Linked DNA regions of Canis lupus familiaris. The protein of the gene in region 2 interacts with the protein of the main gene of each other region in a pairwise test. Links are inferred from orthologs where the notes say so. Each region holds a gene or a part of one and is shown on either strand. Other genes may lie near its edges.

Region 1 (4,386 bases), on a different chromosome or scaffold from region 2:
CCTCCAAAGATGAACAGAGGTCAGAAAGTGTGTTTCTGGGGGATCCCTGGGTGGCTCCGTGGTTTAGCGCCTGCTTCAGCCCAGGGCATGATCCTGGAGACCCGGTCCCACGTCAGGCTCCCTGCATGGAGCCTACTTCTCCCTCTGCCTGTGTCTCTGCCTCTCTCTCTCTCTCGTGAATAAATAAATGAAATCTTTTTTAAAAATCTAAAAAAAAAAAAAAAAGAAGAAGTGTGTCTCTGAACAGCCATTTTCCAAGATGTTCCTATTATGGAATGTGAGCCAGTTATGCAAACAGAAGTGCCGTGGAGGGGGCAGGTATCCATGCAAGCAGCAGCCCCCTCCCGGGCGCCCTGTCCTGACGCACCCCCTGCCTGGACGCACCGCCTGCCCCGCTCTCCTCGGCCTCCTGCTCCCTGAGCACTGCCCCGCGCTCGGGTGCTGGGCGCTGAGCTCAGAGCTCCACCTCCCTCGGCTTAGCCCACAGCAACCAGAGCGCGGGGATCCGAGCCTCAGGGGCACGGCGGCCTGCCCGCCTCTCAGCGCCTGAGCTCCGCGGCCGAGCGCACCTACCTTCAGCCCGACCACATTCTGTCCGTTCACCTCGCACACGGACTGCTTGGTGAGGAGCCCGTTGCGGGCCGCGGAACTCCCTCTGACCACAGAGACCACCGCGCCTTTCTTGATGACAAAGCCGACGTGGCCCGTGCTGTCCTTGTGCATGGTGACAGTGCGCTGGAACGGCCTGGCGGGAGAGACCGTGAGCCGGGCCTAGACGTGCCTGGGGCCAGACAGGGAGGCACCGGGGGCCTGGCCACTCACCTGTCCCGAACGACCATGGCGATCTTCTCTGCCGATGCCCTCTTCAGCACCCGGTGCGCTCGGTCCGTGCTCCACCCGGCACAGTCTCGGCCGTCAATCTGCAGGATCTGATCCCCAAAGCGCAGCCCCACAAGAGACGCGGGGCTGTTGGCCTTCACCAGCTGCACAAAGAGCCCCTGGAGGAGGCAGGGCCCTGTGGTCAGCTCCCCATCACATCACTCGGAGCCCAGGTCCCTCCGGCTGCTGTTTGCCTCCTGATCGTCTAGGAGCTGGCAGGACAGCGGTCACTCCATTTTCCTGGGGACAAAATACTCCAGGCCACATAGCCAGGGAGCAGCTGGGTAAGATCTCAACCCTGGCTGGAGGCTGCAGCCCCAGCCCCTGGACTGCATGGCTTCTTACGACGGCACTGGTCCCGCCGGCTTCCACCTTCTGCAGACAGCTGAGCTGCCTGGAAGCCAGATCCCTCTGATGGAGGAGAGGGAGGAAGAGAGACCCCGAATGGTAGGAGCCCAGGAGGCACAAGTGGAAGGTCCATTCTAGAACCCAGCACTGACCCTGGGGCCTTAGGGGAGGGAGGTTGAGAAGAAGAGCCTCCGCTTGAGGCTGGGTAAGCCTTGGCTCCCCTGCTTGCTCCGCACCTTCCTTACTGTGGACAGGGCCCGCAGCCCCCCTCCCAGGCTGGTGGGCAATACGTGTGGGAGATGCCCCCTCCTCTCCTGCCCAGTCCTCAGCCCTACCTGGTCAATGGCCCTCAGCCGTAGCCCCGTCTTGCCATGCTCATCTTTGCACAGGTAGATCTCGCGCACCCCAGGCTTGATCTCTGCTCGCCGTGTGCCAAGGCTGTTTCCAGACAGCGGTGCCACCAGCTGGCCCAGTGACAGGCCAGAGCCCACCATCTGCAGACACCAGGGGTCTCATAAGGATGGGGAAAGAAGGATGCAGTGGTCCCTGGGCCCTCTCCCATCCCCAGATCACACTCCTCTCTCAGGGCCTGTTAGGGTGCATGGCTCCGTGAAGCCACTAGGAGGCATCAAAGCCTATACCCCCTGAAAAACAGCCAGGAAAATGAGGGGAAAGAGAATGGGTATACAGAAAAGAAACCCTCATTTTGGTGTCAGGAGAAGACCCCTTCGAAATCCAATTAAAAATAAAATTTCACAGCAAATAGCAAGCAATTAGGGGGAAAAAGGACTTGATTTGTTTTGTCTTGAAAAAAAATGTAAGCAAAAAGTATAAAAACGAGTGCTTTCCCCGTAAAGCCCAGAACAAGTCAGGATGTCACTCTCACCACTACTCTTAAATGTGGTACTGGAATAACTACCCAGAGCAATAAAGTAAGAAAAGGAAATAAAAGGCATACAGACTGTAAAAGAAATAAAATGGTCCCTATTTGCAGATGATAGGATGATTTACTAGGATATTCCCAGGAATCTACAAATAAACTCTTAAAACTAAGTGACTTCAGCAAGGTCACAGGATACAAGATCAACACACAAAAATCAACTGTACTTTTTATACACTAACAGCATACACATGGAAACTGAAATTAAAAGTACACTACCAACTATAATTACTCAAAAATAAAACATAGGAGTAGGTGTACAAAACATATGTAGGACTTGCATACTGAAAACAAAAACAAAAAAGTGGCTGATTAAAGATATCAAAAAATATTTAAATAAATGGAAAGGAATTTTCTATTCATGAATTAGAAGAACATAATAAAGCCATCAATTGCCCCAAATTGACATAAAGATTCAATGCCATTTCTATCCAAATCTTTACAAGATGTCTTGTAGATGTAGGCAAGGTTAATCTAAACTTTATATGAAAAGACAAAGGAGGGACACCTGGGTGGCTCAGTGGTTGAGCGTCTGCTTTGGGTCAGGGCGTGATCCCAGGGTCCTGGTATCAAGTCCCACATCAGGCTCCCTGCTCCCTCTGCCTGTGTCTGTGTCTCTCATGAATAAATAAATAAAATATTTTTTAAAAAGAAAGAAAAGAAAAACAAACTATCCATTGAGAAAATGAACAAAACATACGAAGAGCATTTTACTGAAAAAAATCATAGCTGGTAAACAGCACATGGAAGGACATTGAACATCACTAGCCGTGAGGGAAATGCAAATTAAGACCCTGATGAGACATCATGACACACTTATCATAACAGTGAACGTTAGTGAGAAGCTGGCAAAGATGGGAAGAAACTGGAAGAGTGTCGCTGGCAAGAAAATAAAGCAGCAGAGCCACTCTTAAAATAGTTTGGCAGTTTCTTTTCAAGATTCAAACATGCATTTATCATACAACCTAGCAACTGTACTCTTGGACATTTATCCCAGAGAAATGAAAACTTATGTCTGTACAAAAGAACTATACAAAAATATCCATAGTAACTTACTTTGTAACAGCCCCAAACTGGAAAAAACTAAAATGACTCTCAATGGATTCAAAAGTCTTTGGGATGTCCATACCACGGACTGCTACTTAGCAATGCAAGGGGATGAACTAAGGGAGCGGGGGGTGGGGGGGGGCATTGATGGGGATTAAGGATGCAGGTGATGTATGGAATTGTTAAATCACTGTATTATACACCTAAAACTAATATAACACTGAAAGTTAACTATACTGGAATTAAAATAAAATGAAATAAAAACAAACAAATAAGCAAATAAAATGAGATGAGCTATTAATACAGTGAATAACCTGGAAAGGTTTCAAGGGCATTATGCTGAGTGGAAAAAGCCAATCTGAAAAGGCTACACGCAGTAGGATTCCATTTATATAACATTCTGAAACAAAATCATGGAGGCAGAGAACAGACTAGTGGTGGCCAGGGGGTTAGGGATGGTCAGGGGGAGAGAGTGGGCATGACCACGAAGGGCCGGCCTGGGGGAGACCTTTGTGGGGACGAAACAGTTCGTGCCTTGGTTGCACTGGTACTTACATGAGTCTATCTATACAGGTGACAAAGTGACACAGGACTACAGACGCTCACTGTACCAACGTAAAATGCCCGTTTTCCTTATCCTGTGGTTCTGCAGCCACTTCCTGCATAACCATTAGGAACACTCGCTGGAGGGTACAGCTTTCTGTGCCCTTCTCTATACTGTCTTTGTGGCTTCCCAGGAGTTCATGATTATTGAAAAATAAAAAGTTAAAAATAAAACTTTTAGCTATAAAAATGAATCCACCTGTCATATTTGTATCAACATTTCAGTGAAATGCACTCACGTCCTCATTATTGGAACGAAGAGAAATTCAGTCAAAGGCTGACAAGGGAAGTATACACCATGGGACTTTCTTTGCTTCGAAGTTTGTATTTCACAGCATGACTATGGGGGGTTATTGTGGGGAAACACCCCAGGCCCCACGTGTCCCCTTCCTGGTGGCCTTTCTCCTGTCAGACCCTCATCTGCCAGTGGCTGTGTGTGTGTGTGTGTGTGTGTGTGTGTGTGTGTGTGGCTGTGGCAGTTTTCATCCTCACTCCCTTCACTTCACGAAACCCTTCAGCCTCAACAGGACTTGGGGTTGTGCTCTGCCACCAATTTTCAGCAGCCTGGG
Region 2 (5,024 bases):
GGAGCCAGAGCTCTATGATGACTTTGACGTGGAGCGGTACAAGCAGTTTTGGACAAAAAAATGACCAGGCCTGGAAGTGTCCTTAAACCGTGTGTTCTCGAAGCTGCCTCCACCTGGCCTTTCCTTCCCGCACGCTCGAGTCTGTTGTGAGCTCTCTGCGACCCAGTGGGCTAGGTGGCTAAGGATTGGGTCAGGCTGTGGTGTTCAGACGAGGTCTGAAGGGAGTGCCCGTGTGGGAGGAGGAAGGAGAGGGCCCTGGAGCCCCTCACTCCCTGACCAGCTGCAGCCTCAGGGGCCAGGGGCCCTCAAGAAGAGAGTGGGAGGAGCAGGGTGTCAGGGATGCTGGTACGGGCTGTCAGTGGACTGGCCCACAAAGGGAGGTGCCTTCAGCTGGGCTTGTGGCCCCTGTGACTACAACAAACCTGTGGTCGGCTGCCATTCTTCTGCTCCAGTGGTGGGTTTCAGCCTGGCCAGGCTTCTGCAAGACCAAAAGGCCAAGTCCCAACATTTCCACTTGTCGCTGGCCTGGCCCAGGCCTGCCTCTTGCCCTGGCCTGGGCTGTCAGGACTCTTGGAAACCTGAGTGAGTGCCCACCGTAGGGCACTGATACAAAAGGTGGGGAAGGTGCCCACGTTCTATGGGAGGGGGCTGTGTCTGGGCTCCTGGCGAAGGGTGCTGCATTAAGCACCCACCTTTGGACTCCTAAGTCCCTGGTGGTCCACTGAGTTTCCTGGCCACGCGCAGGGTCCTGGGAACATCCAACGGCATTGTCTGCCCTTCCCTTGAAGTGGGGTCACAGCAACGATGCAGGGGTCAACAGCAGAGCAGAGGGTGAGCGGGGCAGGGACAAGTGGGACTTGTAGCCACAAGGCAGGGTGGGTGCTGGTGACGGAAATCACTAAGAGGGCCCCCCCCCGCCCCAGGCAGGGGGTTCTGGCAGAAACCACCTACTGAGATTGCTGCTGGTGGGCCTGGCAAGACCTCCACTAACGCACGGGCACCTGCTTAGCTTCTGAAGGGGGCCGGAGGTGGCAGGCTCTTCACCACAGCGGGTGACACGGTGAAGTGGACGGAAGGCCCAGGCCCGTCTGCAGCGCTCTGGTCAGTGGAGGTCCCATCTGCACCAGGTGTTCCTGTGTGTGGGCCCCCGACCCCCGCTCCGCAGGACCTCGCCGCCGCCCACGTGGGGGGCTTCACACACTGTCCATGCCGCTGCTCCCCCGTGTCCAGGGCTCGGAGCTGATCCTGCTTTGCCCAGCACAGCCGCCCCCCGCGGCGCCAGAGGAGCCCGTGCATTGGCGCACCTGCGCCGTCCCGCCTGCCCTCCACGCTGGGGTCTCCAGGGGACGGCCCCGGGAGTTGCAGGCCGTGTCCCGCTTCTCCGGAGCCGAGCCGCCCCCGGTGCCCGCTCCCGGCACTGCGGCCCCACCCGCTCGCCCATCTCCCGGCACAGCCCCAGGACCGTCGCCCGCACAATGTGGCTCCCAACGCCGGCAGGATCCTCGGGACCCGCCTTGGCGCCTACGCCCGCTCCCTTCCCGGGCGGTGCGCCTAGCGCTGGGGGCAGGCGGGGCGGCGGGGCCGGGGAGCAATGCGCAGGCGCTTGCGGCGCTGCCCGGGTATGCGCGAGTGTGACGTCAAGGCGCGCGACGCGGCGGCGGGACCCCGGCGCCGGCGCCGCCCGGGGCGGCCAGGCCAGGGTTGACGGAGGCAGGGGCGGCGGGCGGCCTGGCACCATGTTCGGCTCCAGCCGGGGCGGCGTGCGTGGCGGGCAGGACCAGTTCAGCTGGGAGGACGTGAAGACCGACAAACAGAGAGAGAACTACCTGGGTCAGTGCGGCGCCGGGCCCGGGGGCGGGGGGGGCGGGGGCGGGGGGGCGGGGGAGGACGCCCGAGCTGCCGTGCGCGGTGCCGCAGGTGCGGGAAAGCGGGGTTGCGAGGTTCTCGGTGTGGGCAGCCGGGGGCGCGGGGGCGGGGAAGGAGAGGGCGCGAGGTGCGGGAAAGGGGGGCTGCGGGCGTGGGAAGGCGGGGAGCGGCGACCAGCGGGCCGAGCAGTCGCGCTGCGTCCCCGCAGGCAACTCGCTGATGGCCCCCGTGGGCCGCTGGCAGAAGGGCCGAGACCTCACTTGGTACGCCAAGGGCCGGGCGGACGGCGCGGGACTGAGCCGGGAGGAGGAGCTGGCGGCCGTGCGGCAGGCGGAGCAGGAGGCACTCATGGCGGCGCTGTGAGTGGGCCCCGCGGGGTCGGGGGAGCTCGGGGGGCCCGGGGGCGAGGCGGGGTCCGAGGGGCAAGGCCAGGGACTCCGGCCGCCGCCTGAAGCTCGCCCGCGGCCCCCACAGAGGCTACAAGAACGTGAGGAAGCAGCCCACTGGCCTGAGCAAGGAGGTGAGCGGCGCACGGGGGGCGGGGCGCCCGGAGTCTGTGCGAACCCCCGCCTGAGACCCGCTGGCTCCGCACAGGACTTTGTGGAGGTCTGCAAGCGAGAAGGAGGGGAGCATGAGGAGAAGGGAGTGGACCGGCTGCTGGGCCTAGGGAGCTCCAGGTGCGTGGCTGGGGGGTGGAAGGGGCCCTCCCCAGGTGGACGCACCGCCCCGCCGAGGGAGGCCTGGGCCTTCTCACCGTGGGGTCCTCGCCTGCCTTCCCGCAGCGGCTCTGCAGGCCGAGTGGCACTGTCCCGGGAAGACAAGGAGGCCGCCAAGCTGGGGCTGTCGGTGTTCACGGTAAACCCCCCTCTGCGGGCGGGGCACCCCAGAATCGGGCGGGCGCCGAAACTGGGACGCCCCCCCACAGCCCCCTAGAGTGCCTTCCTTCCTTGCTCCTTCCCTCCCCAGCACCACCGCGTGGAGAGCAGCCGCCCAGGGGCCTCCCCCACCTCTGCTAGGAAGAAGCCTCGGTTTGAGGAGGAGAAGGTGCAGCCTGGGTAAGGGCTGCTCCCACCCCTTGGTCCCAGGCCCACCTGCTGGGCTCCCCCAAGGGGGAGGCAAGGTGCACTCCCACCCCTGCTTTTCCTCCCTGGATGGGGAAGCAGGGCGCCTTCCTACCTCTGCTGCTCCTGGCAGTTTCCTGCCACAACGGGAAGGAAGGACCGCTGTACCCACTGGCCACAGGGAGGGGGGGGTGTGTCTGTGTGGACAGTGCACAGGGGACGCCACCCCACGTCCCTGCAGCCTGGAGAGCCACAGGAAGAGCAGGAAAGAGAAGAAGAAGAAGAAGAAGAGGAAGAAGAAGCACAAGAAAGAGAAGAAGAAAGACAAGGCACACAGGAGCAGGGTGGCTTCTCCACTGTCTCCAGCTCCTGCAAGGTAGGTGTGCTCAGCCTTGCCGGGGCAGAGGGAAGGTCTGGGGAGCAGGGCAGCCTCCCCCTGACCACATGTCCCCATATCCCCAGGCCGGGGCACCACCAGTGCGGCTCTGACTCTGAAGATTCCTTGCCCTGCTCCAAGAGGCGACGCAGCCACCACAGTGACTGAGGCCAGATCACAAGGGGCCCCCATGTCCAGCAGGGGACCTGCCCCGGGAGGACACACTTGCCTGGGAAGGCCCCGAGACACTTCTATTTTTCTTCAACTCACTTTGTACTTAAATAAACTTATTTTAAGGGGAAAGCCTCTCATCCTTGAGGGAAGGTGGCTGTCATGTCCCAGTAAAGTTCCAGCAAGACCAGCCTGAGACCCTGCTGGTAGGGCGGGGAGGGGGGGGGGGGGCGGGCTCTCCCTGGGTTACCATGTCCAACCCCAGGGCACAGACGTGCACCTGGAGCCAGCAGTGTGCCCCACCCCTGGGAGGTGAGCACCTAGTCATTAAACCCTCCTATTACAGCCTGCCTGCAGGGAGGATGAAACCCAGGGTGCACTCATGATTGTGAAACTGGCATCTTTGGCTTTAAGTCATCAAACTAAAAACGATTCTGTCTTCATAACCCTGGCCCTGGTGTTTCAACCTGGTAGTGGTATAAACAATCTTGGGCGGGGGCCAGACTGGGCGCCCCCAGCCAGGAGAAGGAACCAGACCAGCATGCCCAGTCAGGTGGGAGGGATGGTCTCCAGCCAAAGAGCCACTAGGAGCCCTGCCAGGGGTTTCCTACCCCTCAGGAGCAGGCTGGCTAGCAGGGATGGGCGTGGACAAGAGCAGGCCTCGGGCACACCCAGTGTGGTGACCCTGCTGTCCCTCCACGTCCCAGTCCCACAGAATAGACCAGGGGCTGCACTAACAGTCAGCGGGTGGACGATGAGAGGGCGCTGGGTCATATGCACACCTAACACAGGGAGCAGTGAGCCACACCATGTAGGTCCCTAGCCAGTGACATCCTCTGTGCACAGTGGTAAGTGTGGGTCAGTGGCACCCAAGCACTGGAAAGCCATGAAATAGTTAAGAGATTTTATTCTAGTAGCTATAATTACAGTGCTTGTTTGTCGAAATGAAAACTGAAAACAAGTATACAAAACAGTTGATTACTAATCGTGTATTGAAAGCAGTAAGAGGTTCCACGACACCAAATAAACCAGTTCTGAGAACTTCCCCAAGATAAAGTTGAACAGCTCCAGCTTCTTCAGTGTTTATCAAAATACAAAAGAAAACAGTAGAGGTCGTTGTTTTGATGGCAAATCTGACCCTTGCAGGCTGAGGGAGTGAAAGCACATGTAGACCAGGGCTCCCGGGGCTCGGGGCTGAGGTGCTGGGATGACTGGCCTGCCCGCCCGCACTCCTGCTGGTGAGACCCCAGGCAGCCCAGAGGAAGCCAGAGTGCCCACACTGCCCCCAGGGAGGCCGGGGTCCCTCCAAGGGGTCCGTGAGCAGTGATGCAGCCCCCAGCCCATCTCCTGGGTGGCCGTATAAGCACAAGTACAAGCACAAATGCTAGGGGATACAGGATGACCCGAGACAAGAGCGATCACAGGGACCCTATTGTGACCATGCAGAATGGACCGTGGCTGGTTCTGCCCTGTCTCACGTTCCCGATGGGAAATGGCCCACTGGTGGACTGGACTCTGGCCGCCACTGCAGAACCTACACTAGGCACATA
Region 3 (4,507 bases), on a different chromosome or scaffold from region 2:
GGCAGTAACCCCAGGTACTTTTCGGGCCTGCTGGATGTTGGCACCATGAGTCCCAATTGCCAGTCCCATCAGGTCCTCTCGCACCGTGAACTCCTCCTGGAAGGCCGCCGCCAACTGCTTACTTGTCTGAAATGAAAAGGCACAGTGGGGTTTGTGGCAGCGGAACCCCAGACACCTGTCCCGGGTCCCTAACACTCTGCAGGACTTAAGCAGACAAAAATATGTGAAAGCAAGCCAGAACCACCTTGGATCCACAGACCCCTGGGACCTGTATGGAGAATTCAGGAACCAGCCATTCCACTCCTACCTGGCGAACACCAATGGCTTGGGGTGGGGGTGAGGGAGGTAAACGAGGGCAGGGTTTGGGCTGGGAGCCACCACAGTTCAGGATTTGGCTCTGACACTATCTGGTTATGTGACGCTAAACACAACACACCCTCGGGGCACCTGGGTGGCTTAGCGGTTGAGCCTTCAACTCAGGGCGTGATTCTGGGGTCCTAGCATTAAGTCCCACATGGGGCTCCCTGCAGGGAGCCTGCTTCTCCCCCAGCCTGTGTCTCTGGTTCTCTCTCTGCGTCTCTCATGAATAAATAAGTAAAATCTTTAAAAAAAAAAAAAAAAAAAAAAAACACAATACACTCAGTGTCTCTGTTCTGTCATCTGCTGAACTGTTCCACCTGACTCATCCCACTCCCAGACTATCAGAAGGATTAATTAAGGCTGGTGTGAAAGGCTCTTTCACAAGGTAAATGTAAGAGTAAGGAACAATTACTCTGACCAAACTAATATCAACTCCCAAAATAAAACCCAAAAAACTGAGTAGAAAGCAAGAGGCTGAGAAAGCATATAAAGAGCTATGGAAACCACACTACCACTTCCTCTCTCCATCAGTCCTCAGATACCTGGGCACAAGGGCAGAAAGACATGGAAGGTTCTGGAAGAGGAAGTCCTAGGTAGAAGCACCAAACAGGAAAGCTATTTGAAAGGGGTCATTCCTGATCCCAGTCCACTACATCCTACTTCCAAGATGGGTGGGACTGTATTATGGCAAGGACTTACCTCAGGCAAGAAGGGGATGGACAAAAAGGGACCACGCTGGGTATTCAAAATAACTGCATTAGGGAGGAAAGGAGAGGCTCTACGATGATTTACAAATGTTCTCTAGAAGTTTGCCAAGAGTTTTATTCTTAAACTGCCTGACGGGTACAAGTGTACCTAATATACTATGTTTTTCCTTTATGCAGACAATTATTTCAAGATAATTTAATAAACAAAACAGAAAAAAAGAAGAAAAACAAGATCTCTCAAAAACAAGACTACATGTACGGCCAACTTAACTATCTTTTTCAAAGACTATTTATTTGAGAGAAAGAAAAAGTGAGGGCGGAAAGGAAAAGAAAGAATCTTGAGCAGGCTCTGTGCTGAGCACGGAGTCCCAACTCAGGGCTCGATCTCACAACCCTGAGATCGTGACCTGAGCCAAAATCAAGAGTTGGACACTCAACCAACTGAGCCACCCAGGCGCCCCATATCTGGCACTCTTTACCACACTGATCAATACAACCAGGTCCTAAGAAGAGTTGAAGTCTACCTTTTGTCACCAGGGAATCTGCTCGTTGGGAACTTGAGCAGACATAATTTGTATCATCTGGGGGTAATGGTGAAGTTCTGCCAGTGCCCTGAGTAGCATCCCTGGAGAAGTGACAGACCACTATGATTCACAATGTGCACAGGCTCGGAGAAAAGCCTACCAAAAAGATCAGTTCTATTGATAAACGGAATGGATGTGCACACACACACTATTTGTATAGGATGGTATGGCACCTAAGCAAAGGGAATCTGACCATCCTAAGATATCAGAACTCAAAAAGACCTTGTTGAAATATTTTAGTCTAAACACCTCATTGTCACACAGATAAAGCTCAGTGAAATCAAATGATTTGCCAAAGGTCAATATTTGACAGTGGTCCTTCCAGAATACAAATGGTTCTCAAATAGACCCTGCAAAGCCGTTTGATTCCCAGAGGTGATCTGGGGGAGGCCAGTGGAGGTCCGGGTCACACTCCCTTCTTCTACTTAGGCAGAGCTTCTCTGATCTGTTTTAGGCATTGTGTTTTCAAGTAAAACTTCACTTGATCAAAGGGTCCCATGGTTAAGAAAAAAATGAAAACAACTGTACTATTATAACATGATGAAGCTCTGCCATCTGGAGGAGTCTGGGAAAAAATAGCAGACCCAGGTTTAATGGCCCAGAAAGACCTTAGTCTTTTTGTTCTGTAAACACAAGAGCATGGGGGGAGGATGGGATGGGAAGGCAGGATGATAACAATACCATTCAGCAGTATGAAGTGAGGCCTAAACTTACTTCCAGGTGCTTGGTAGCCTCCTCATTGCGGGACATGAGCAGGAGTTTGGTGCGCAGGCTTCGAAAATGCATGTCACCCAGTAGAGACGCCCGCTTCACAGGGGCTTCTGTAGTTGACTGGGAAGAAACCAATGGACAAAATCATTGAAACTGACTTTGAATACACAACGGGGAAGACCCAGGACTGGGAACCAGGATGCCTCAGTCTCTGGAAAAGGACAGGAGTTAAGAAATGAAATGAGAGAAGAGAAAAATCACTATCAGTTTCACAAGGGCCTACTATTATCAGGGTACCTAAGAGAAGTGATTTTAGGCAGAGGGAGGGGTGAGAATCGTATAGTCTATTTTTTCAGAGCCCAAATATGCAAGGGAAGGTCCAGACTGCAAAAGGATGGCCAGGCTTAAAAAAAAAAAAAAACTTAAGGTCATACGTGAGGGAAGACTCAGGAAACATGGCCTGGGCCCGCAGGGGTCAGGAGCCATACAAAAAGTCTTCTTTGACAAATAAACAGAAGCACATCTGAGCCCCTTCCTTTCTGCAAAGGAGTTAAAAGGGGAGGAAAAAAAAAAAATCACTGAGAGGGTTTACGTTTTAAGTCAGGTCAAATAACTCACCAGAATGAAGAGCTCACTATTTGTGATGTTGAGAAAGATGCAGTTCGCTCCCAACGCTTTCTTGAACTCTTTATGGACATTTTCATTGGAGCAGCTGCCAAGGAAGAGAATAGTGCTCAGTGGGCACAGTGTGCAGTTCAGAGGTTCAGAGAGATGGGGATGACAAAAATGAGATGAGGAAGGATGGGGGAGGACGAGGAAGACTGACAGTACAAGAAGGGCCTGGGAGGGATCCCTGGGTGGCTCAGTGGTTTGGCACCTGCCTTTGGCCCAGGGCACAGTCCTGGAGCCCCGGGATCAAGTCCCACATCGGGCTCCCGGCATGGAGCCTGCTCCTCCCTCTGCCTGTGTCTCTGCCTCTCTCTCTCCCCACCCCATAAATAAATAAATAAATCTTTAAAAACAAATAAACAAAAATAAGAGGGGCCTGGGAGAAAGGTGGGCCAACAGGAGGACTGTCAACGGAGCCCCCATCCCGATGTCCCTGACTCACGCCTCTCTCAGATCCTCAGGCACAGCCATGGTAACCTTGAAGAAGCTGCCTTTGGTTGCAAGGGGATTGGGATTAACTGGCCGGAGCCGTTCCAGGGTGACAATCTCATTGTAAGTGGCATCACAGGCAGCGTATTCGATGACGTAGAACTGGCAGAAAGGAAGAAACAAGTGTGGATGACCTGAGCGTCTGTCCCCCCCCTTTTCTGTGACTATGGTCCGTGCTTCCCATCACTCACATCTCCCTTCATCATCCGCACCCGGGCCAGCCACCAGCCGCAAGGTTCCTGCTCATTGGCTCGAGAATAAACCTGGAGCCGAAAATAAAGAGATACTGAGGCCCAGCTAAAAACATCACGAACGAAAAAAAATTAAAAAATGAAAACATCATGAACGCAACTTTCAGACCCTGGGAAGCACATTATACCACAACAAAGGAGACACGAGGAAGGAGCTAATTAAAAGCCCAGAGGGTGCTGTCACCATAACGGGAAAGTAACTCCCCTGAAACTGGGAAGCTCCCTGAGTTTGATCACAACAGGGAAAGGGAGCTGGTGCACTTCTCTCTTCCACAGCCTACTGGGCTGGGTTTCAGAGGGAGGAGAGTGAACCAACCAGAGGAGAGCCTGGGATACTGGTCTCAGGGCAAGGGAGACCACAGAATCCTGGAAAAAGTGACATTTAGAAGGGGTGGAGCCCTGGCTCTTACCTCCACCTCGTCCCCCTCCGTGATCTCTTTATTATAGTCAGCTGGAGGTGGGAGCCGGACATCCCCAAAAGGAATCTGTCTCTCGCTCTGCCAGCTGCAAGGGAAACCGTGACATGAAAGCTATTTGGGATCATGTTGCTATTTCTTCAGGAAGGGGTTACTGCCTCTGCTGGGCAGTTCCCACCTTCTCTGGTGATTAGAGGCTAAATTCTAAGCCCTGCTCCACTGTATCTTCTGTCTCCTGCTAGAATCCAAATACTAGGTCAACCGTTTCCCCCCCCACACACACACATTTCAGCCCATTCCTCTCCTGGGGTCTATATAAG
Region 4 (4,507 bases), on a different chromosome or scaffold from region 2:
CTTTTCTACATCTACAATTACACTAATCTTGTATATACAAGGAGATATCTCATAATAACATATGGTTCAAGCCTCAGGATTTAAAAAATAATTATCATGTTTTTAGGTAAAATAAATATAGGCAAAAACATTCTTCAGGAATGTTTCTGCAAGTTTCCAATTTTTACTCATTGCATATCTGATACTTTCCAAAAGTATGTTTCCTTTACACTAAACCAAAGATGACACTTTTGGAGCTGATTAAGTAGCACAATTAATGTCAAACAATATCCCCAAAATGATTGAGCTTAAAATGCAAAATAAAAGCAATTGGGAGGATTATAGCAGTTAATCATTTTAGGCTTCCCTTTGAAGAACCATCTTCATTTAAAATAGAAAACAAATGCTCTTTTTACTGTTTAGTATTCATGTTGTTAGACTGAGTTTATTGCCTAGAATAGATGTTAGACCATAAATGTTACCTTCAGATTTTGTTCTTTCCTAATAGTATGGTCTAGGCAATATACATATTTAGCTCTTCTGAGTGTTTAATACAACTCCCTTTAGTATTCTATATATGATTTTGCTCAGCAGATTTGTGTTATTAAAATGTATATAATGGCATACAGAACATTCAGAAAATCCACAGAGGACTAAACAATCTTATTTATTGTTAACATTGAACCAGTCTATTTTGCATGTACCTTGCAGTATCTGTCACAAAAATGAGAAGGAGAAATTTTCGAATTTAAGAACTACCGATTTGATTAACCCATGCTTTTATTCAGACGGTGGAGAACTTATAAACCCTTCCTGCGTGAGATTGGGCTTCAAGCATTCAATAAAGCACATTTACTGTGTCCAAGATTAAATCATACATTGTTTAAAATTAATTATTCCTTTTTAATTGCATTGTATAAACAGAAATGACCTGTTAATTTAAAGAAAATCTATCAGCACAAAATGAATTCACTCATATAAACAAGCAAGATGAACTTGACCTTGTTTGAACTTGTTTTGATGTGGCCCAGATGGTAGGCTACATGCTTGAATAGCAGGCTAAAGCTGAGGAAAAACTCATATAGCAAGATCTAGATTTATAGCCTTTTGCAAATTCCTACCTTGTATTGTCCTTTCAGCATCTGTTCTGCTGCCACTGCGGTCAGCTTCTATCTCTGGGGTCAGAGAGTCTAAAAGCACAGAAAGGTAAGAGGGACACATATTTCATTTGATGCTTTTGTCCTTTAAAAAAAAGAGCAACCTGTTACTTTGGAGCTGAATTAAAATTACATAAATCTTTGTCATCTTTTAAAGGTTGAACAAAGACCAGAACCATAAGAATCATCAAAATATTTGAATAGATAAATAAGTAACGCCAAATTGTTCCTAACACGGGATGGAGCTGGGAAGTTCTCAGATTAATATTTTATCCTCTTTCAGTACAGACAGACCCAGTTATGCAGGAAAGCCGTGTCAGGTCCCAGATACTGGAGTGAAGTACAACAGGCCAGGTGAAAGCACCTGGGAAGTCAAGCAATTCCCCAACATGCGGGATCACTTCCCACCAGGCTTACAGTTTAAAGAATCACTAGGGATAAAGATGTATGTAAAACCACAAACACAATGTAATGAATCAACAGATATACGAATATATGTGAAACCACAAACACAGGTTTACATTGTCTTTTGAGTGCTAAAAAGTTAATGTCAGTGAGCCGTGCATGAAGATGCACCCTCTTACCATTTAAGACTCTGAGACTATCTGTCGAAGCTGCCTGTTTCAGCGTTTGTTCTGCTTGCTCACGCCGTTTTGTCTCAAATTCAAGTGCTTCCTGCAATTTTCTCTTTGCCTTCTTCTCCTTCTTTAGCCTCTTTTGAACTATGGCTAGAAAAGAGTGTTTGTATATTACATTTTTAAAAGTTTTTTGCAATGCCCTAACTTATCAATGATCTATGATTTTATATATATATATTTATATAAAAAAATATATATAAACATATATTTTTTTTTTCCTGCTGGACTGAGTCTACCTATGCAGAAGTTCCAAAAAAAAAAAAAAATCCCACCCTTATCTAAAATAAATCCCAGTGAAATATCCAAGGAGGCTAATTTTTATTTAGCCTTCAACCACTGTTATATTACAAAGATGCCTTTGATTGTCATATGTAGAGACAGATTTAAGGGGAAACTAATTTTAGTAAATATTTATATGCACTGATAAAGGAAGCCTGATTAAATGAATTTTGTGGGTTAGTCTCTGCCCTTGAATCAGAATGGTACATAATAGTTAGAATCATGCCAGCCTTTATAAGCATGCCTTCTATCTCTTTATGAAGCACCAATTTTGAATAGCAAATGGAGTATTTCCCCTGTAGTTGTTTTGCAAAACAGTTACATTGGTCCAGGTCTTAAGAATTTTTTTCTTGAAATTTTAAAAAAGGCAATAAATATTTTTGTATATGAGGAGCTAAATACTCTTAATTATCAACATAGAAGTAGTCTTTTGGGGGTGATGAAGCTATTGTAATTTGCTCAGAGATATCGATAATTTCTTCAAAGCAATTTTATATGCACTATAACATATTTCAAGAAAATCATGTTTTATTCTGCTTCAATCTGGTGGACTATAAAACCTCACTGATGATAATAATGTGCTATTGCTGACAATGATGTGGTATTTATATTTAAAAAAGTAGCTTATGACACAAAAAGTTAATTATGATACATTTTCTCCTACTGGACAATTTAAATATTTGTATATAGTATGTAACCAATAACTAGTAACAAATGTTCACAAAATGTATGGTTGACCATACTTTCAGTATGATAATTATTTTAGTTTTTACAATTTATATAAGGTAAGCAGCCAGTCTATGGAGAGCATGCAAATGTTTCTTTTTGGAATTTTTTTCTTCTGGTTGATAAACACTGTAGATGTGAATGTGACTGTGACAGAATCGGTATGAGAAAATCCTTTTAGAATTAGTCATAGGGAATAGTCATTCAGAGTTTACTACTTGATTTCTTACTACAACATTTTTATTTAATACAGTATTTAGTCAAAATATAAATCAAAGTAATAAAGATTCAAGTAAGAATTTGTTTCAGTTTCTGACTTTCATATGCCCCATTTTTATAATTATTAATACCATTAAGGTGGCAGACCATTAACTTGTTGAGTTTATTGTTGCCGGTAACATATATTAGCAGAGGCTGTTTTTTATCAAAACATACATTGGTTACAGTCTTGTAACAAAACAAAACTGGTTTTGAATAAATGCTAATTTCCTTTACTTAATATGAAAATCGTATGCTTATCTCAACAACATCATTTGCCTACTCTATCCCTTTCCAAAGATGATTGGTTATAAGTCTCTTTGAAAAGAAACAGTAATTTCTGAATTCCTTATTTGAATTGTTGTACTTCCATGGCACTAAAACTCAATACCTAGTCCCTTGCCATTGACTGCTTACTGTTTCCTGCTCCGCAATTGAACCTGGTATTGCCATATTCTCTCTTCAGGGTAATACACTGCTTCAATGGATACATTTATAATAGATAATTATTGATAGCTATTACCTTTAATTTATTGTTCACAATTAATTAAATGGGAAGTTCATGATGTGATCTGTGAAGTGTTTTGCCCTCTAGTGGTTAAAAAAAAAATTAATGTAAGTCCTCCAAAAGATTTGAACCAATAAAATTCTAAAGTTCTCTCAAGTAACCAAAAGATTACTTCAGGAATTCAAGGGTCTACTTTTATGTCTTGTCAAAAAACAAAAACAAAATTTCTCCAGGTGAGAACAAAATCAAGAATCAAGACATGGCTATCTCATTGAATTCTATTTAACAAACTCTTGGACAAATCTTCATTATTCACACAAAATACATCCCATTATCAGTGTTTATCTTGTTTTGATTACTATACTGCCTTAATCTATGTGAAACCACATTATATGCCATATATTGGTGGTGATGGCTTTTCTAAATCAGCCTCATCCCAGGAACCCACTAGCTGTTGCCTCATAGTAACTAATGAAAAAACCTACTACTGGTTTGAAAAACAAAGCAGAAACAATGATTTTCAAATGACTGTATCAAACATATAAAAGAACACCTGGGATATTTATATTGGATACTTATTAAATGAGGGAGTAGGTGCTCCCCCCTGGAGTACTTACGAGAATCTTATTGTTGAGGCAAAGGGAAAGTTGGTTGTAAAGGAAATACTCTTAATCTCACACATAATATAAACTCACAAATATGAATGACCTTCAAAATTATCTATACATGCACTGTAAAATGTGTTAGAAGAAGCAATTCATAGATTAGTGATATCATTGTTTTTACCCAATAAAAATTCATATTGGCTTCTACACTAATGTGTATTTGACCTTGTTGGATGAAAATGAGGCATCCAGAAAGAAAATTATACAAACACTCAACTTTGGTCATTTGTTCAGATATTCATCAGTCTTCAATTTCAGTTGATAAATATCTTACTATATCTGCTTCGCTTGAATAAT
Region 5 (5,307 bases), on a different chromosome or scaffold from region 2:
ACTGAGCCTCAAGAGTTTTACCTTAGCCATTCCCTCTGCCTGTAAGACTCTTCCCCCAGATATATTTCTAGCTAACTCTTACCCATTCCAAATTTTGGCTCAGTAGTCTCTACTAAGCCTGTCCTATCCTTTGTATTTAAAATTGCAACCTCCTCACCCCCACATAGCCCCTTTCACCTTTTAACATGTCATATGGTTTTATGTTCTTTGTCTGCCCCCTCCAACCTCCACTAGACTATTACCTCCGTGAAGGCAGAAATCTTTGTCTTGTTCATTTATGTATCTCAAGTCCCTAGAACTGTGCATAGAACATAGCAAATGCTGAGTAAATATCTGCTGAATCAGCTGATGAGTCAATTTCAGTGAACTCTTAGTTAAAATATACTTTTCAGTTCACAAGCAGCTATCACACTTTTTTTTAAAGATTTTATTTTATTTGTTCATTAGAGGCAGAGAGAGAGAGAGGCAGAGACATAGGCAGAGAGAGATGCAGGCTCCCCTCAGGAAGCTTGATGGATCTCTGAACTCCAGGATCATGCCCTGAGACAAAAGCAGAGCTTAACTGCTGAGCCATCCAGGCATCCCTATCACATTCTCATCCTTATTGCATGCACAGTAAACCACAGAAGAAATTTCTGTCTATCCCTGGAAATGCTAATAAACTATTATTTTAGTATTTGGTGAAAGGATATGGCTCTGAAATTCCTCAAGTTTTCTGGGCCCAGTTGATTTAACAAACATTTTCTAGATACTTAATGCCAGACACTGCAAGCTGCTGGGGTTACAAGGCTAAGACAAAGTCCTCCTCAACAGGGCCTCAGTCCATGAAGTGGGACAACCATACAGTAACGTATGGTTCATATACAGAGAGGTTAAACGCAAAGTTTTCGTTGGAACAAGAGAGGTGCCTAAGTTGAGAGGCTTAAGAAAAAGAGGATAGAGAAAGCATGTTAGAAAACATAACACCTGAGCCACATCTTGAAGGTGGACAGGTCAGTGAGAGGCATTTCAGCCTAAGGGCAAACAGGCTATTTATGGAAGCCAGGAGAATGCCTGCCCTGTGTGAAACATGATGGTAGGAAAGAGTTAAAGACAAGTGGATGGAGAATACAGTGAAAAGGTAGAAGTAGCCGGTCCTCAAGGGCTTTATGACACTATCGAGTAGAGGCAGCTTTTGAAGATGTGAACAGGTGTATGACAATTACCTTCTGTGGAGGATAGACTGGAGAGGCAAAACGAGACCTCGGACAGTCAGAGGCTGTTGCATGGTTAAGAGAACGCGAGAGGGCCTGATCAAGAACAACGAGGAGAGGAGGGATGGATTTAACAAGTATTTACTTACTTTATAAACTTATCCTGGTCATCAAACAGATGTAGAGAGTGGGAAAGAAATCTAAGGTTTCCGGTTTAAGCAACTGAACACATAATTCACAGAGGATAATCGAAGGCAGAAAAATTTACATAAGAAATAGAAGACCATTAGGAAATCAGAGCGTTTTATTGAACTCAAGCAGCAGGGTGTTAAGGAGGAGGAGGGCGGAGGATGGAACCCTGGGGAACCACGAGGACTGAGGCGGGGGTAGGCAGAAAGAGTACAATAGAGCCGTGGAATTCGTCACCAGCCTGCGCTGCAGACTCGCAGGCCCCGACCTGCAGACGGGAGGGCACGCCGCCGGAGGCAAGCGGACGGACCCACCCGCGCAGCTCGCGATCCCACCCGGCACCTGCGGGGCACTACCGCTACGCCCTCCGGCGGGAGCGAGTGTCCGCTCGCACTGCCACAGTTCAGGCGCCTGCGCCCTCAGAGCCTTGTGACACCTGCAGGGCAGGTAATGAATGGGATGAAGCCTGGCGATGTGGGCAAGGGTCCACAGAGTTTCACAGATCATATTCCATCTGTGGCTGCCCTTTGAGAGAAACGGGAAGAGCTACCCAAAGGCCTCACCCTCATACCTGCCCTCCTCTACGCCACCACACCCAAAGACCCCGCTGCTCTCCACCCCGCATCGTCCCAGATAAACTAACACACGGGGCCAAGCAGGTGGCGGAGTCTAGCCCCGCGCTCACGGTTCCGTCCCCTCCCCTCGCCTCTCCGCTACTCCCAAAACACTTCCTCTCCCTCTTCCGGAAGCTCGGAGGCCCCACCCACTACCGCAACGCCTGGCCTTAGCCAATGGCCTGCTTCCCAAGGAACGTTACCTCTGACCTCGGGGCTCATCAGACAGTGGGACAAACTCCTCGCGAGAGGTGAGGTTGAAGCTGCCTCCGCCATCTTGGAGATGGGAGACGGGCGATGGCTGTGGTCCTTCTGCTAATGCAAACAACAAAACGGGCACAGTAGTCAATGCGGGGGAGCTTATCATCACAGAAACTGTTGACCAAAGCTACAGAAGGAGTGAGGGTGTCAAAGCGCAGCGCAGCGGCATCGATAGCCGCTTCTCCTGCTTGCGGGAGCGGCAGAAGTGAAGTGAGTGGAGGCCGGAAGGATGGTGCAGTCCTGTTCCGCCTACGGCTGCAAGAACCGGTACGATAAGGATAAGCCCGTTTCTTTCCACAAGTAAGTACCCCGCGCGTCTCGCGGGGCTGGCCCAGCTCGGGCTGGGGGCGAGCGGCCGGTTAGGCTCGGGGGCGGGGCCAGCTTGCGTGCGCGCGAGCCCGGATGAGGGGCGGGGTGGGGCAGGGGCGGGGCCAGCGCGTGTGCGCGCGAGCCCTGATAAGTGGGGCGGGGCGGGGCGGGGCGGGGCGGGGCGGGGCGGGGCCAGCGGGTGTGCGCGCGAGCCTCGACGAGGGGCCGGGGCAGGCCGGTCCTCCTCGCGGTCCCTAGTCCCCCGTCCCCCGTCCCCCGTCCGCCGGGCGGCGGGTGTACCCGCCTGGGTCGGAGCTCTCGTGCTGCCGCCTCCGGCTGCGCGTGGCTGCCATGGCCGTTTCTTGCGCTCGAGAGTCGGAATCCACGCTCGGGGTTCGTCCGCCGCCTGCCGTGGACGTGTCGGCGCCCCAGGAGCGGCGTCCGTGGGCGCCGCGCGAGCCTCTGCTCGGGGTAAGAGGGCAGCGAGGGCGTAGTAGCGCCTCCTGAGTCAGTACGGAGCCGAGACAGAGGCTGTGAACGTGACGGAGCCGCTCTTTTCCCAGCCTTGGCGTGCCTGGGAGGCCAGCTTCACAGCAGCTCAGGCTTTCGGGGAGGACGTGTGCACTCAGTGCCTAGGGGCCCACCTCGGGGCACCTCTGGCTGTTGGAGGGAGCCTCTGGGACGGCCAGGACCTCAGTTGGCGCGCAGCGATGGGGTCCCAGGTCCGCACAGCTGGCTCGCCCCCGAGGAAGCCCACAGGTCCCGGGGCCGTGATGGCTTTGGCGGCTAGAGAGGCCTGTGGGAGAAACGACCTCGTGATCATCGGATGTCTGCAAAGTGGGACTCGATGGCATTTTCATTCCGCCAAATAAAGTGTTTACAGACTTTACGTTATTATAAATATGATTATTTACATTATTATTACCAAACCGATGGCAAATTATAGCAATTATACGTAAGTAAATCATTACAAAAGCAAAATTTAAGTATTCCGTCAGTTTTTTTGGTGGGGTCGTGTGTAACAGGGGATGTGGGTGCATTTTATGCTTAGTAGAAGAGGGACCCAGGGAAATGAGTGCCTTACCACGCAGATCTGAGTGTTGATTGATGGACCACCACCACCATCCCCATCCTGCCCTCCACCTGCAGGACGACTGAGAGCACCTAACACTCCAGGATCTACTTCAGTATATCCTGAGATCACTTCTTTATTTGTTGGAATTTCTGAAAGCTGATGAATTGACTTCCAGTTCTTTGAAAGTGTAGGAATAGATCAGAAGACGGTGACACTGTTATGTTACAGCCAGCTCTGCACAACCCCGTTTCTAATCAAAGAATCTAAAAATGTGGAAAACCCTTCATTGGTACTAGAAACTAAGGATGGCGTTCACACATCAGAAATAGTTTCTGCTGGCTGTCAAATGATTGGGTCAAAGGAGGAGCTGATCTGCCTCTCCTTCTTACCTATAAAGAACAATTTTTTGGAAATAGATGGGAATTATTCTCACAGAACTCCATCATGAACAGCCTGATCATTGTAGTGTGTAAGACAGGAGGCCCAAGGGGCTGAATTTTACTGGTGATGGCTACCATCTGTTGTATTTCTGGAGGCCATTTCCAGCAGAGATCTTCTACCACTTTCTACATGGTGGCCCAGTGGCAGCAGCTGTTCTGGGCAAAGAAAAGAACTGTCCCAAAGATTGGTTAGTTCTTCATGATAGCAGAGTCCAGCTCTGGCATACCTTATGTAGAAGAGAAGCTAGAACATGGAGTTGAAGCATCCTTTGGCTTTCCAGTTTCCCCATTTCACTAGATACTTGACTTGGAAAAGTAAAATCACAGTAAATATAAACCCTTTCTAAGCCCACTTTTCTGGGCCAGATGGACATATTCCAGTTGATTTCGAGGTAAAATAAGATCAATAATATTCTTATGCTGGAATTAAAAACAAATCAGAAGACTAAAATAAATTAAAACTTTTATTTTTTTAAATTAAAAAAATTGGGCAGCCCCGGTGGCTCAGTGGTTTAGTGCCGCCTTCAGTCTGGGACGTGATTTGGAGACCTGGGATCGAGTCCCACGTTGGGCTCCCCACATGGAGCCTGCTTCTCGCTCTGCCTGTGTCTCTGCCTCTGTGTCTCTTGTGAATAAGTAAATTAAAATCTTTTTAAAAAATAAATTTAAAAAATTTTAATTTATCTATTCACGAAAGGCAGAGACCTATAGGCAGAGGGGTAAGGGGGCTCCCTGCAGGGAGCCCAATGCAGGACTAGATCCCAAGGACCCCAGGATCACAACCTGAGCTGAAGGCAGATAGATGCTCAACCACTGAGCCACCCAGGTGCCCCAGTAAATAAAAACTTAAAAATTAAAAAACAAATAAGAACTTCCCAAACCTGAGGAGAGACTTGGGCATCCAAGTTCATGAAACTAATCAACCACCCCCTTTCAATTCCAAACATATATAAATAAATGAATACATGAAAATTTAAATTTATCATTATGATTTGACTATAATTCGATTAATTCATATTTGTCAAATTGATCCTAAGAGAACTAGAACCTTCTTTTTCTGCAGTATGTAGATATAAACATATAATTTTATTTTCATTGATTAAAAAAAATCAGTACAGATTTACCCTATAGTATATATTTTACTTGAAACTCTTAGTATCTTTGACATAAAAAGTTAAACATTAATAAATGAGACAGAGAAGCTATATGATTACCCTTGTATATTT
Region 6 (4,507 bases), on a different chromosome or scaffold from region 2:
GGGAATGTTCTAAAGCCTGGAGACAGGGAAAGAACAGGCATATTCCAGGACAAACAAGTAGTCTATCATGGCTGGAGTCAAGAGAGGAAAGTGCCAAGAGGTGAAACTGGAGGGGTAAGCGGGGCCAGATAATGATGAGCCTGGAAACCATATTAACATGATTGGAACTTGACTCTTGGCTCAAACCAAATGAACAGGTCCTTACTGAGAACTCAACGTGAGCTTCACATGGCTCTAAGCAGGGTGGGAATACAGAGGACAGGATCCTGTCATTGGGTGATTTTGAACAACCGTTCACTCTTTTTGGGTCCCAATTCCCCCATCTGCAAAATGGGCTACATCAAAGCTTCCCAAACTTGAACCACCTGTATGGCCCCTTGTTGATTTTAATCACATCCCTATACTACTGATATTATTTTAATAAACTCACTTTTTTATATAAGGAAACTTACATTACTACCTTACATAGAAAATTTGTAGCACTTGTCCTAAATAGAAAGCATTTGCAAAATACATGATTTATATATGAAAATACATAAAGACAGTGTATTTAATTCTAGTTAGCAACAGTTGCCTTCCCAAGGCTCTGAGCACCATGTCTGGGTGACTGCCAGTATTACAGAGATAGTGGAAAACCCACTACTACCCAACCCATTCTCATTAATGTAACCAGGATTAAAAAAGACTCCAAAGGAAATAAATGTCTATGTGATTTGGTGTTATTTACCATTATGCCCACTGACCTAAAATCCTCTGAAGTGCCCTTGTGGAATGTGTTCCCCTCTGTTCCTATTCCTCTAACATCTGTGCTCTGGAAAGTCTTTCCAGAGGCAGTAAGATGGGAATAGGTGGAAAGGGGTTTCTGAGAGTACCACAGCCTAGGCAAAGGTAGGCAGAGGAGTATCAGCAGATGCCTCCAGATCGGCAGGCAAGCCAGTGCTGACAGGAGTTCTCCCCACATCTGCAGAGGATTTCAGTCGCCATGCCTGGAATGTGCAGAGGTGAAGAAGTCTGGTTTGGTCCCATCCACAGCCCGGAGCTCCCCTATGAGAGGTTGCTCCCGCAGCCCTTCTTATGCCAGCACCCGCTCTTCCAGCCACTCCTCCCGATCCCCAAACCCCAGAGTCTCCCCCAGGTACACCCGAAGCCGATCCACCTCCTCTGGAAAAAGGTGAGTGCAGTTTTGGCCTCTGATCTGCAGAGCTTTCCTCCTTAGGGAGCTAGTTATGGTAACTGGAAATGTCCTTTGGCCCTGGTGGGGGGCGGGGGGGGAGGTCAGACAGATGAGTTTGAATGCCCACTGTACCCATTCCTAGCTGGTGGCTCAGATAACCTCTCTGAGCCTCAGTTTCCTTATCTGCAAAATGAAAACATTCACCTCTCAGTGTCTTTGTTTCCCAATCTGTGGAATGAGATTGATAATAGTACCTCGCCCTACAATGTGTTGAGGATTCAATGAGATAATGCACACAAAGCATTAATTCAATGAAATACCTAACAGCCTAACAGTCATAGCTAACCTTTCCTGTGTGCTGCCTATGTGAGGTATGTAAGTGATTTACTCATTGAATTTACAACTGTATAGGGAAAGTATGATTATTTATCCCCATTTTATAGATGAGAAAACAGAGGCTCAGAGAGGTGAGATCACCTGTCCAAAGTCACATAACTAGTAAGTGGCCTTAGATGGTAAGAACTCAGTAAGGAGGAGTTACCAATATTATTATTAGTCGCCCAAAAGAGAGGGAATTTCATTCTCAGGAAAGGGCCAGATTCCTGGGTCTGGCGTCCAGAAAGTCAAAGTCGCCCTCGGGGGACCAGCCGCATACAACCCTACCCCTGCGGGACGACCCCGGCACGGCCCCGGCGAAGCCCAGCAGGCCCTCGGGGACTGTTTACCGTGTCCCGCAGGTCCTACTCGCGCTCTTCCAGCTACTCCTCCAAGTCTGGCAAGAGGAGCCCGCCGAGCAGAAGCTCGCGATCGCGCCGCAGCCCCAGCTACTCGCGGTACAGCCCCGGCAGGTACAGCCCCGCCCCCAAGCCCGGGCTCCGCCTTCGCGGCCCCTCCCCCCGGCCTCTGCGCAGCGTCACCCAAGCCCCGCCCCAGCTCCCCCTTTGTCCAGCCTTGAGGGAGTAGGGATGGGGAGACCACCCAGCATCCTCGTAGTTTCTTTGGTCTCGGCTGGAGTGGAGACGTGTAACATATCCTGGGGTTCTAACGGCCCCCCTGGAAAGTACAGCCAGCCACACCCCAGAATTCGCATCCCCGGCCCTCAGCCTCTTCACGCACCTAATATTACCCTTGATCCCCGTTATTCAGAGCCGCAGTTGTTACGCATGCACCAGGGCCCTCTGGACCGCCACATCCTAACCCCGCAGCACCTAGGCCCCTGTAACGCCCACCCTCGAAGGCCGACACCCGCGCCCACGCCTGGTCTCCCCACAATACTGAACCAGAGCCCTGTCCTACTCCCCACCGCGTTCCCTGGGGCCCCGGGAGGAACCCAGCACCTGCTGCAATGAGGTGCGGGGCGCAGGGAAGAGGAAGTGAGTGCCCCTGGCTCATGCGGAAAAGCCAGCCCCGGCTCCCCAGTGACCCCCGCACCCCTTCAGGGAGCGGGACCCCAAGTACAATGAGAAGGACTCGCAGCAGCGGGAGCGCGAGCGAGCACGTCGGAGACGGCGGTCCTACTCGCCCATGCGCAAGCGCCGGAGAGACTCCCCGAGCCACCTGGAGGCGCGGAGGATAACCAGGTGAGGCCAGGAGGGCCGGGGTGCCCACCTTCACCCTCACTCCCACCCCTCCCACCCGTCGGGGCCTCGGGATCTCCCCTGCACCCCGTGGAGCTGGATTTCAGGATTGTGGGAGCTCAGGCAATTTGCGAGGCCTGACAGGAGAGGTCAGGGCCTCGGGGCGGGGCTAGGATGGGTGCCCCGGGACAGGGGTGGGGACAGCCTGAGGAGGGGGTGTGGCCGGGGTCTGCGGAGAGGGCTGCGAGGTCGCATCCCGGGCGAAGGGGGCAAAGCAGCGGGACCGGTCTTTTCCTGGGGGTGGAGCCGGCCAGCGAAGACGGATCACGGTCAGACCACATGCCAGGCTTTAATAGGCCCTGATCATAGCTGGCACCAAGTGTGGAGAGGGCAAGAAGGATCTTTAGGTGCCAAAGGAATTTAGAGGGAGCCTCGGTGGGCCAGGGGGAGAGCACTGGATCTGGAGTGGAACCCGGCTGTGCCACTTTCCTGGTAAGCTGGAGAAGTCTCTTCACCTCCCAGATTCTCAGTTCTCATCCATGAATATTTCCTTCAGGAGTGTGTATCATGAAGATGAAAAAAAAGGGGGGGCAAAGAGATGGGAACACACTTTGTAAACTGAAATGCAAAACACTAGAACCCTCGCTGTGTCATTGTTACAGATTGAATGGTCAGATTAGGTGGATCAGGTTGCCTCTAACAGTTAAGGTCTTAGATAAGAAAAGCCCTACAAAAAAAACCTGAGGTCTGAATGGACACATAGTTTTAGGCCTTGAAAGCAGGAAGAATGGCTGAGTGCTGTCCTGAAATTGGCTCCGGACAATCAGCTCCTCCTGGCCCTCCAAGGGTCAGCCATTCCATCCAGGGACTCACAGGAATGGAGCTTCGATGTCCTGGCTGCCCTGGGCCTCCTCCCTAGAGATGACCTGGAGGAGGGAAAAGCACTTGTGACTCCAAACAATAAGAATGGGGGCAATGGCATCACCTTCTCGGATATCCCATAGAACAGCACGGCACACACGAAGGGAGTCCTACTCCCACAGCATGGACCACAGGTGCCATTGGGGTGGACTTAGAAGAAGGCTGAGATAAACTGGCATTTCTAAAAGGCTCTCGTCTCCTGAGTCAACCTCAGATAATCCATCCTGATGAGCCATTCAGTGTTTCCCAAACTTTAGGCATCCAGCGGCATCCGAGCACTTTGCACTTACCTGTTTAGTAAGCTACTGTTGTTGACCTTTCTTTACACAGATATGTTCTTTCTTAGAGGTCCATACATTTAATGCAAAAGGAATGCACCACAGTATACCATAGCAAATGGAAGATCAGCCTCTCTTACCATAAATAGAAGGTTCCAGTAAAAGTAAAAAGAGATAAACAAAACGTGCAATTAAAGTCTAGATGTAGATTCGGTTGCCAGCTGGAGACTCCCAGCCTCAGGCTTGCTTGGCTCTCAAGTGAGAGCTGTCACTTCTCGAGACACCAGCACTAGATGGTCTCAGGACAGCAGGAGGAGCGCGCAAAAGGGTGTTTTCCCCAAGAGCCTGGGATGGAGGAAGGAGTCCGCTTCCCCTGGGGACGGCGGGCGCGCTCGGGGGGAGGCTGGGCGGTCTGGTCCGTCCAGCGCGCTCCCTCTGGTCTCCGCAGTGCCCGGAAACGCCCCATCCCCTACTACCGGCCCAGCCCCTCATCATCCAGCAGCCTCAGCAGCACCTCCTCCTGGTACAGCAGCAGCAGCAGCCGCTCTGCCAGCCGC

What was found.
Region 1: the proteins of C14H1orf35 (region 2) and SDCBP2 interact in binary tests that used the Homo sapiens proteins (3 or more experiments, as listed by UniProt). The two-hybrid records come from large-scale screens. The link is inferred for Canis lupus familiaris from reciprocal best matches to the Homo sapiens genes C1orf35 and SDCBP2.
Region 3: the proteins of C14H1orf35 (region 2) and FXR2 interact in binary tests that used the Homo sapiens proteins (3 or more experiments, as listed by UniProt). The two-hybrid records come from large-scale screens. The link is inferred for Canis lupus familiaris from reciprocal best matches to the Homo sapiens genes C1orf35 and FXR2.
Region 4: the proteins of C14H1orf35 (region 2) and DACH1 interact in binary tests that used the Homo sapiens proteins (3 or more experiments, as listed by UniProt). The two-hybrid records come from large-scale screens. The link is inferred for Canis lupus familiaris from reciprocal best matches to the Homo sapiens genes C1orf35 and DACH1.
Region 5: the proteins of C14H1orf35 (region 2) and THAP1 interact in binary tests that used the Homo sapiens proteins (3 or more experiments, as listed by UniProt). The two-hybrid records come from large-scale screens. The link is inferred for Canis lupus familiaris from reciprocal best matches to the Homo sapiens genes C1orf35 and THAP1.
Region 6: the proteins of C14H1orf35 (region 2) and SRRM4 interact in binary tests that used the Homo sapiens proteins (3 or more experiments, as listed by UniProt). The link is inferred for Canis lupus familiaris from reciprocal best matches to the Homo sapiens genes C1orf35 and SRRM4.

Annotation. Positions count from the first base shown.
Region 1 is NC_049245.1:20,193,803-20,198,188, reverse strand, and holds part of SDCBP2 (syntenin-2), read right to left. Parts: intron 1,722-4,386; coding exon 1,563-1,721; intron 999-1,562; coding exon 823-998; intron 746-822; coding exon 574-745; intron 1-573.
Region 2 is NC_049235.1:507,860-512,883, forward strand, and holds C14H1orf35 (multiple myeloma tumor-associated protein 2), read left to right. Parts: upstream 1-1,642; 5' UTR 1,643-1,736; coding exon 1,737-1,830; intron 1,831-2,074; coding exon 2,075-2,225; intron 2,226-2,340; coding exon 2,341-2,386; intron 2,387-2,460; coding exon 2,461-2,543; intron 2,544-2,648; coding exon of another isoform or gene 2,649-2,721; intron 2,722-2,832; coding exon 2,833-2,921; intron 2,922-3,168; coding exon 3,169-3,303; intron 3,304-3,389; coding exon 3,390-3,670; 3' UTR 3,671-3,920; downstream 3,921-5,024. Other genes in the region: MRPL55 (39S ribosomal protein L55, mitochondrial), read left to right, coding at 1-64.
Region 3 is NC_049226.1:32,722,974-32,727,480, forward strand, and holds part of FXR2 (fragile X mental retardation syndrome-related protein 2), read right to left. Parts: intron 4,276-4,507; coding exon 4,182-4,275; intron 3,784-4,181; coding exon 3,712-3,783; intron 3,623-3,711; coding exon 3,474-3,622; intron 3,075-3,473; coding exon 2,981-3,074; intron 2,483-2,980; coding exon 2,366-2,482; intron 127-2,365; coding exon 1-126. UniProt on the Homo sapiens protein: mRNA-binding protein that acts as a regulator of mRNAs translation and/or stability, and which is required for adult hippocampal neurogenesis. Specifically binds to AU-rich elements (AREs) in the 3'-UTR of target mRNAs.
Region 4 is NC_049243.1:25,837,007-25,841,513, forward strand, and holds part of DACH1 (dachshund homolog 1), read right to left. Parts: intron 1,865-4,507; coding exon 1,721-1,864; intron 1,170-1,720; coding exon 1,101-1,169; intron 1-1,100. UniProt on the Homo sapiens protein: Transcription factor that is involved in regulation of organogenesis. Seems to be a regulator of SIX1, SIX6 and probably SIX5.
Region 5 is NC_049237.1:23,673,633-23,678,939, forward strand, and holds the start of THAP1 (THAP domain-containing protein 1), read left to right. Parts: upstream 1-1,810; 5' UTR 1,811-2,486; coding exon 2,487-2,557; exon of another isoform or gene 2,558-2,642; intron 2,643-2,781; exon of another isoform or gene 2,782-3,037; intron 3,038-3,043; exon of another isoform or gene 3,044-3,468; coding exon of another isoform or gene 3,469-3,521; intron 3,522-5,307. UniProt on the Homo sapiens protein: DNA-binding transcription regulator that regulates endothelial cell proliferation and G1/S cell-cycle progression.
Region 6 is NC_049247.1:15,661,054-15,665,560, forward strand, and holds part of SRRM4 (serine/arginine repetitive matrix protein 4), read left to right. Parts: intron 1-967; coding exon 968-1,171; intron 1,172-1,911; coding exon 1,912-2,022; intron 2,023-2,613; coding exon 2,614-2,754; intron 2,755-4,398; coding exon 4,399-4,507. UniProt on the Homo sapiens protein: Splicing factor specifically required for neural cell differentiation.